Linked DNA regions of Caenorhabditis elegans. The protein of the gene in region 2 interacts with the protein of the main gene of each other region in a pairwise test. Each region holds a gene or a part of one and is shown on either strand. Other genes may lie near its edges. The genes, in order: cdc-26 and emb-27.

What was found.
Region 1: the proteins of emb-27 (region 2) and cdc-26 interact in a two-hybrid assay, tested with the Caenorhabditis elegans proteins (2 studies listed by BioGRID).

What each region holds. Positions count from the first base shown.
Region 1 is NC_003279.8:10,638,560-10,642,190, reverse strand, and holds cdc-26 (Anaphase-promoting complex subunit CDC26), read left to right. Parts: upstream 1-1,957; 5' UTR 1,958-1,963; coding exon 1,964-2,168; intron 2,169-2,213; coding exon 2,214-2,272; intron 2,273-2,317; coding exon of another isoform or gene 2,318-2,350; intron 2,351-2,439; coding exon 2,440-2,692; coding exon of another isoform or gene 2,693-2,700; exon of another isoform or gene 2,701-2,736; coding exon 2,737-2,804; 3' UTR 2,805-3,115; downstream 3,116-3,631. Other genes in the region: eif-3.E (Eukaryotic translation initiation factor 3 subunit E), read left to right, coding at 1-5, 74-349, 396-872, 928-1,383; mrps-30 (Mitochondrial Ribosomal Protein, Small), read left to right, coding at 3,235-3,631. UniProt on the Caenorhabditis elegans protein: Probable component of the anaphase promoting complex/cyclosome (APC/C), a cell cycle-regulated E3 ubiquitin ligase that controls progression through mitosis and the G1 phase of the cell cycle.
Region 2 is NC_003280.10:8,159,365-8,164,444, forward strand, and holds emb-27 (Cell division cycle protein 16 homolog), read right to left. Parts: upstream 2,807-5,080; 5' UTR 2,806-2,806; coding exon 2,720-2,805; intron 2,674-2,719; coding exon 2,569-2,673; intron 2,525-2,568; coding exon 2,020-2,524; intron 1,974-2,019; coding exon 1,574-1,973; intron 1,531-1,573; coding exon 1,164-1,530; intron 1,114-1,163; coding exon 819-1,113; intron 775-818; coding exon 565-774; 3' UTR 501-564; downstream 1-500. Other genes in the region: pch-2 (Putative pachytene checkpoint protein 2), read left to right, coding at 1-226, 273-467; rrf-3 (RNA-directed RNA polymerase), read left to right, coding at 3,194-3,261, 3,317-3,926, 3,973-4,208, 4,256-4,369, 4,420-4,777, 4,823-5,080.

The DNA.
Region 1 (3,631 bases), on a different chromosome or scaffold from region 2:
GAGGAGTAAGATTTAAACAATAAATTGTTGATTCTGAAATAGCTGAATTTATTTATATCAATGATAATTGCAGATTTACGATGAGAAATCCCTGACCGAAATGCACCGCCAGCTTTTGACCAAGACCAATATGATTGATAGTGTTATAGAGACCTACAATGGAAAACCTATTCCGGCTGCAATTGAGGCTAAGAAGAAGCAAATTATCAAGGAGAGAGATGAGCTGAAAAGCAAGGTGGACTCCGTTGTTGCCATTTTGGAAATACCGGAAGTCAAGGAAATGATGGATAACAACAGAGAAAGAGATGGAAATGTCCGTATTTTGGAGCATCTCACTCAAAACCACAATGTACGTTTTTGCTTTGCAGTTTCGAAAATAATCTTAATTCTTGCAGTTCACAGTAGACATGGTCGATACCCTCTTCAAGTACAGCAAGTTCATGTACGAATGCGGAAATTACACCGTCGCATCCGTGTGCCTTTACTACTACCGCAACCTTGTCAATCAAGCGGATCCAAACTATTTGAACGCTCTTTACGGAAAGTTGGCCAGTGAAATTCTGCTCCAAGAATGGGAACATGCTCGTGACGATTTGCTGAAACTTCGTGCTTACATCGATGCTAATCCATTCGACACGGAATGGGAACTTGTTACGCAACGTGCGTGGCTTATGCACTGGGCACTTTTCGTCTACTACAATTATCCAAAAGGGCGTGATGAGATTATCGAAATGTTCTTGAACCAGCAACCTTATTTGAATGCAATCCAAGTTTTGGCGCCACATTTGCTCCGCTATCTGGCTGTTGCCGTTGTTACCAGCAAAAGCCGCCAGAAGAACAGCTTGAAAGATTTGGTGAAGGTCATTGACATCGTGAGTTTAACTATTTTCTATATGAAAATATGATTAATTATTTGTTTTTCTACAGGAACGCCATAGTTACAAGGATCCCGTCACTGATTTCCTCACCTGTCTCTACATCAAATATGATTTCGACGAGGCTCAAGAGATGCTTCAAAAGTGCGAAGAGGTTCTCTCCAATGATTTCTTCCTGACTGCTGTCCTTGGAGATTTCCGCGAGTCTGCACGCCTTCTCATTTTCGAGATGTTCTGCCGCATTCATCAGTGCATTACCATAGAAATGCTAGCACGACGATTGAATATGAGCCAAGAGGAAGCTGAACGCTGGATTGTTGACTTGATCAGAACGTATCGTATCGAAGGAGCTAAAATTGACAGCAAGTTGGGACAAGTGGTGATGGGTGTCAAATCCGTCAGCATCCACGAGCAAGTCATGGAAAACACGAAGAGATTGACCCTCCGCGCTCAACAAATCGCCCTTCAATTGGAAAAAGGTCGTCAAGACAAAGTCAAGGCGACTTAGGCTTTACAAGTTCTTCCGGTTTTGAATGTTTTTTCCTTTTTCTTCATCTGATGCTGTTCTGAAAATTGAGATGTGGCAAACACGGAGATTAAGACTGTCATCTCTCAGTTTTCAGTATTATTTTTCTTTCTTATTTGTTCAGCTCCTCGGTTTTTTACGAGGACTACTCGAATTCTGTCTTTTCTAAACTTTCCTTATATCCCTGTTGTTTCTTTTTGTTGTCTCTGACCCTTCTTTCGTTAGTGCAGGGGCTGGAGGTTCGGTTCTAATTGGTTAAAATAATATATTTTCTCTTTTATCATGGTTTGATTATTGTTAGAATCTAGGTTTATGAAACCTTTCAATATATATTTATTGCCGTTGCCGAGAAATTGTTTGAAATTATTTTTTGTGAGGAAAAACACTTCCATCTGTATATTTTGTCATTTCTGTTGAATTTGCCTTACTTTTTCGCTAATTACAGAAATATTTAAGCCATAGGTTCGATTTTGCCGTTTAAAAATTAAATCTCCAAAAATACACATTTTCGCCAATTCACAGTTTTTATGAAATTAAATAATTTATCTCACTCTTTTTCAGTATGTCAATGTTACGGCGTCCATTAACACAATTAGAATTGTGTGAGGACGATATCCAATGGCTGACAGATCAACTGAACAAGAGGGTACTTCCAGCTGTGATCGTGCCAAAATGCGAAATGATGGATATTGACGAAATGGAGCCGATGGATCAGAGTGAGCCTCCACGTGGCATAACTAGGAGAAATCTCAGATCGGCGGATAGAAGTGAGATGATGATTTATTTAATTTTTCCTAACCTAGCTTTTTCAGAGAACAGAGACGTTCCAGGACCAAGTACGGGAGAGTGCACGCGTACTTCCATTGCACCGGTAATTTTTTTTTTTAAATTAAATGTTTTAAACATTACCTTTTAGAATCGATGTGAAATGTCATTCACTGAAGTGCAGGTGACATAATTTTGTGTTGTTGGTGTTTCGAACACTTATTTCTATTCACTTTTTCATATTTATCTTATGGCTATTCTCCGTATTTCCAGACTTTAACATCTGCTCGAACTCCTGTCGCTGCTCCAACTCTAACACTTTCGACGCCAGTCAACCCTGTCTCATCAGCTGAAATGTTGAGAGTTATGCCACCTCGTGTAGGTCGACGTCCACGAGCTTCTCGTTCTGGTGACAATGATTCGCCACTCCTCTTCAACGCTTATGATACACCACAGCAAGGAATCAATGACGAATCTCCAACACCCTCTGACTCTCCCGAATCTCCTAATGCTCATCTCTATGGTGGTCAATGAGTTGTTGGAGGAATATTGTCAATATTTTATTTTCAGCTACTCCCGGCAATCCTACTTCAACTTCTGGAGGACCTTCTTCAAATACACGATCTCACAGACACTAACAACTACTGGTCAGGGTTGTGTTTAGGCAAACGTGCAAAACCCGCTTATTTCAATATAATAATTCACTTTTTGATCTAAAATTGATTTAGAAACGTAGAAAAACTTTTAGAGGTCTTCTCAAGCTTTTCATTAAAAGTGAACCGTTTTATACATTTCTATATTTATCAATTTTTAATTTTTTAAAAACTTGGATTGTTATACTGAAATTCGCAGTTTTACACGCCCTGCTACTGATCTCCCTTTCAATTCCAACTTCCTCAGCGTGCTTTCTTCTTTTTTCGAACTAAATAAATTTGTACAATATTTGAAACAAATATTTCTGAAATGCTACATTTACTGTCATAGTCTGTGATTTTTCTATCTTTCTTTGTTTTTTGAAATTCCAATATTTCATTAATTCTTCACCAGCCCTGTTTCAGAAATTGCAAGATGCACGGGTTAAAACGAAGTCTGATGATCAGAACAGTCTGCCGTGGAAAGGCAACAACTGCAGGAGCAGATCTACCACAATCATCACAAGAAATCGAAGTTACCACCCCAAAATCAGAAAATGTTCCAGCCAAATCAGCGAACGCTTCAACTGTATATCGTCCGCCATACTATCGAAAGCCACATCAGCACCACGAGCCAAAGCATATGCTCCAAGAGGAATTTGTGAACGCTGGCGATGCATCTGGAGCAGGAGTTCGCGTTTTCGACTACTACAAGACTGCAGAAATGGTCCATTCAATGCCAACAATTAAAGAGAAAATTGATTTCGTCTCACCGTACGAGCGACCGTGGACCCGCGCAGAAAAGACATGGCGTAGAGATTGGCATCCAACGT
Region 2 (5,080 bases):
TAGAATCAGGAGACGTGATAACGTACTTATTCTGTGTACGTCGAACCTGGAATCAACTCTGGATAAAGCTCTCGTTGATCGAGCCGACATTGTAAAAAATGTCGGGCAGCCTTCGGACTTTGCACGATATTCTATGCTGAAATCATCAATTATGGAATTGGCCCGGATTGGTGTTGTTATTGATAATGAAGTTCACACTGATTATTGGCCACAAGATATTTGTGATGTGAGTTTAACACAAATGTTTCGAAATAATTGTCAACTGTTTACAGACGAAAGCACCAAGAAATGAGTTTACCGAGATTCTTTTTAAAATCGCCCAAGAAGCGCGTGGACTCTCTGGACGAGCAATATCCATGCTTCCTACACTGGTTTATTCAAAAAGTCCGGAAGAAACTATCACACTGCCGAATTGCATGAATCTCTTTCTCGAGGCTGTAAAAGAGCGTCTGAGTAGAAATAATTAAATTTTATGCGTTGTTTTTTGTCATTCTCGAAATGAAGGATTAAAAATTTATAATTGAAAGACTTAAAAATTGGATGAATAAATAAAGTTGCGACATTTTACACTTGATTTCCTGCATCGTTATCTGGCTCTTGTGCATATAGTTGATCCTGTCTTCGCAAACGATCTCTCAGCATCGACATAAATGGTTGGCTTGACGATACGATGGACGGAACAACGAATCCATCATTTCGTGGTTTTCTTATTGCACAGTACGGAAGAATTTCTTGTGCACCGAAGTATGTTTCAGAGTTGTATGCGGGCGGGAGCTGAAAACAAAAAACCTAGATAACATAAGATATAGTATATTTACCGTTTGTTGATCAACAGAATAACTTTCTTTTGACGCTTGAATCATTTTTGACAGACATTGACGGATTGTTTCATTAAATGGATCGATCGCAAGAGCTTTATTGAAGAATTCAGTTGCTTTATCAATGTTGCCGAGAACTGCGTAACAGAGAGCAGTTGATGCAATGGCATCTACAAACTTTGGCTCCATTCGGATAGCTTTTTGATAAAACATGATTGCTTCATTCAGCCTTCCTTGCCGTCTGGCTATGTGGCCAATGTTATTGAGCATTGGGTGCCAAAAGTCGTCGATTTTCCTGAAAAAATGTTATTTTTCTCTCAAATAATCATCGAATTAGATACTTACTTTTTCAAGACTTCTTCAATTGGAATGATTTCATCGGTCTCTGTAACCATATACAAAACAGTTCTGAATAAAATATCGGCTTCCGCGTAACTTTTTGCAGTATAGGCTACACAAGCTTCTTCGTGACGAATCAGAGGGTCATTCGGTGCCCGAGCAACTGCTTCTCCCATGAACTTCTTGCTCAGCTTCTGACTATGCGTACTGTACTGAAGAGAAGTGTACAAGAACGGTTCAGAACTTTTATCCACAAGTTTCGACGCTCTGTAATAGCAACTCATGGACTGTTCGTGTTCAACTTCATAGTGAAGAATATGACCAAAAGCCACCCATCCTTCAGCAAACGTCGAATCCATCATCGTGCATTTACCTAAAGAAGCTCTATTTAAACCTCAATGAAATGGGAAACATACTGATGAAATTTCGAGCTCTTGAGTTTGCTCCAATACTATAATAATACATAGCAACACAATACCATGGAAGTGGAATATGAGGATCATCACTAACTAGTTGATGACCTAATTCAAGCAGAGATCGAGAATCCTTTAACATTGTTAGGCAGTGAATACGAAGAATAATGCACTCAGGATGTGGTCCAAATAGATCAAATAGCTCGTCAGTGATTTTTTTTGTTTCTCGAAATCGACCCATCTCGTAGGCACGTTGAGCACGTTCCATAAGAATTCGTGGATCATGATTTCCTTCGTGTAACTTCAGCTGTTCATTTCTGACTTTTCTGTACTTCTCCCACATCGCAGGCTCAACCAGATTGTATTTTGCCATTAATCGTTCGACATGGAGAGTTGTATTATCCTGAAATAATAAAACACGGTCAAATCATGTATAAAAGATGACTTACAAGACTCAGCGCGTAATTAATACAAATCATTGCAGCATCACGATTCATCAATTTCAAAAAACTTTCTGCTATGGTTATCATAAGAGCTGGAACCATTCTGAGCTTTTTAGAGCTATTATCCAATTCGGCCATATTTGCAAATGAGTACTTCATTCTTTCTTCCTCGACATATCTCCCCGTCACTTGTGAAAGTGTTCGAACAGGAAGAGGTCCAATTTGGCCATTACTTGGAAGAAGATGACCGACCGATAATTCAGCTACATCTTCGTATAATTTCCGTTGGAAAAGTGCGGTAGCGGCATAATAAGCAAAAACAATGTGAATCTGATGATAGTTCCCACGAGCAATAATATGGCTAATACGCCGCCATTGACGGAGAACGACGAGAATTTTTACGTATTCAGCGATGGTGACAATATCTTGCTGTTCATCATCAATTATATTAGAGTATAATGTATCCGCGTAAGCTACAGCTTCATCGGTTCTGCCGATTTCAAGCATTTCCCTAAAAATATAACATATTAATATATATGCTGGTCTCAAACTGACATCACTTTCTCCATGCTCGCCTCGTCATAATACTCCGATCCATCAATTCTACTTGCAAGTGTTTTAATCGGCTTGAAACGAATAGACTCGTGTTTCGGCAAATCTCTGAAAAATTGTAGTTTGAAAAAGAAATGTTATTTATTAAACTCACAAAGATGATGCTGGCTTGCTTGAGGAACCTTCATCAGCCAATGTCGGAATCGCAAAACTTTTTGTATCAGGCGAGATCGCGCTCATGCTGTAAAGGCTTCGTATATTTGTTTAGTAAGTAGAGAACTTAAGTTAAGCAACAAGAATTGTAAAATAGAAATTCAATAATGACGTTAATTGCAATGGAACTGTTGTGAAAAAGTGTTGAGATTATAGTCTTATTTTTAGATTATAATTTTACAGCTTACACGGAGTAGTTACAGCTACTTTAACTAAATAACATAAAGGCGCGCCTAGGCGCTTAAAAACAAAATAAAAAGGATTTAATGCTTGATCAAATTTAAATTTTAGCCGTAACTGCGGAGTCTCGTTGCTAATTGTCAATGGAGCGAACATACATCATCAAATTTTTGAATAAAATTGTTTCTCATTTTTTTCGTAAAATAAATGCCATTTTCAAAAAGTCTTTCACAAAATGCTCCCGTTTGATAATGATGACTCTAGCGATGATGCTACAACTTCTGTTAGGCCGAAGCATCCAAGGTAATTGAAATTCGGTGAGCAAACGGTAGTCAAATGAAACAATGTTTTTTTCCAGAGGAGTTCCTCAGAGTCAATCAACATTTCCACGTGGTAGATCGAATTTTTCGTCTGGAACTTTACCAAATCGAAAAACAGAATGCACTCCAGTGAACACCTTAACAATTGGGCATTCAAACAAGATGCTATTGACAACGTTTCGGATGGATCGAAATTCAAAATCTAAATCGGAAGTTGACGTACAAGAACAGCCTGTTCACTCTTCATCGTCGGCTTTTCCAGGAAATCATTTAAACAATTTTTCGTATCCAGTGAATCGTGGATATCTTCGTGATTACCTGCTACAGTCACAAAGGCCTTCTACTTCAAAACCAGTCGACTGTTCTGTTCTAAAACGGCACTCTCTCCCATCAACTCACATTCTTTATGAGAAAACGAAGCACAGAGGTGGTGTAAATATCGAAGAACAAGAAAAACTCGTGCGGATGTTATGGGCCGCTGCAGAAGAATCGGAAACAGTTGCGAAGACGAGACAGTTTAGTAAAAAACAGGCGATTGAGCTGAATTTCGATGCTAAGCTCATTGGCAGCATGAATAATGATTGCTTTGGATATTGCCGAGCACACATGGAAAATATAAAAGATGTTTTGAAAACACACTTGAAATTGGTAAGCGATTTTTTAATTGGCCGTATTTGAAACAATTTAATTTCAGTCTAAAGTTGACGAGGTAAACTGGATCAAGGTGGGGATGGTGCCACGAGCTGCGTACGAAGATAAATCATACGTCATCGATGCTCATTTAGTTTTGACGCCAAACGGTGAAGTAGAAGATGAAAATGAATTGTTCTCCGAGTTCGCATCAAGTTTCACATCTAGAATAACTGGAATGCTCCATGATCAAGTATTTTTGGAAGTCCCGAAAATGCATACGCTTTTCACAAAAATAACGTAATAGAATACTCATCCGCTTTTTATATACTCAAGTTATAATTTAGACCCCAACACATGGATATAAATATTTCTGCGATTGCGATTGGAAACTGCCCTAATTCAGGACTTTTCCTTGTTAGAGGAGATTTCATCAGTCAAGAAAACACAGTTTGTAGTGTGTAAGTTGCACATATTCTACAGAATTTCTAATCAGATTTTTGTTTTTAAGAAAGCTTCAGTCACACCATAATGCAGATGCATCCCGTGAAAACAGTTCATTCAAAGTGGCAGGAAGCAATAAATACCTCTCGTATGCGAGATTTGAGCATGACAAAAGACTGGCAGTGGTATATTTCGGAGTTCGATTAGCCGAATTCGCTGATGATGGTTTGGATCATGCCGGATTTCGTCTTAATCTATATTATAATTTGTTTGTTCGAATTGTTGTCGACATGTCTCATGAAACTACGAACAGTATTTATATACAAATGAAAAATCCACCGCATCTCTGGGAAGGAATTCCGAAAAATACGATTTTTCACCCATCAAAGTCGAAGGTTCTCAATATGGAAACGTGCACAGAATGGGTGATATGGTATGCAAATAACTTTTAAAAACTTGTAAATTTTCAGACAAGAGTATTGAGTTGGCCTGGCGATGCTGAGGGCCGAGGTGTCGGTTGTACTTCTGAAGCTTTCTCGCAAAGCTCCTGGATCCGGTTGACAATGAGAAAAGATGATGATAACGATTCGGTATCGTCTACACAATTGATGGATATTGTTACTAGACTTTCTGCTCGAAGCAAAGCAAAAGTGATGTTCGGCTCCATTTTTTCAATTCGCCGAAAACTTGCACCATCCCCGGCTTTCCATTCTCTGGGATCTTTCCGA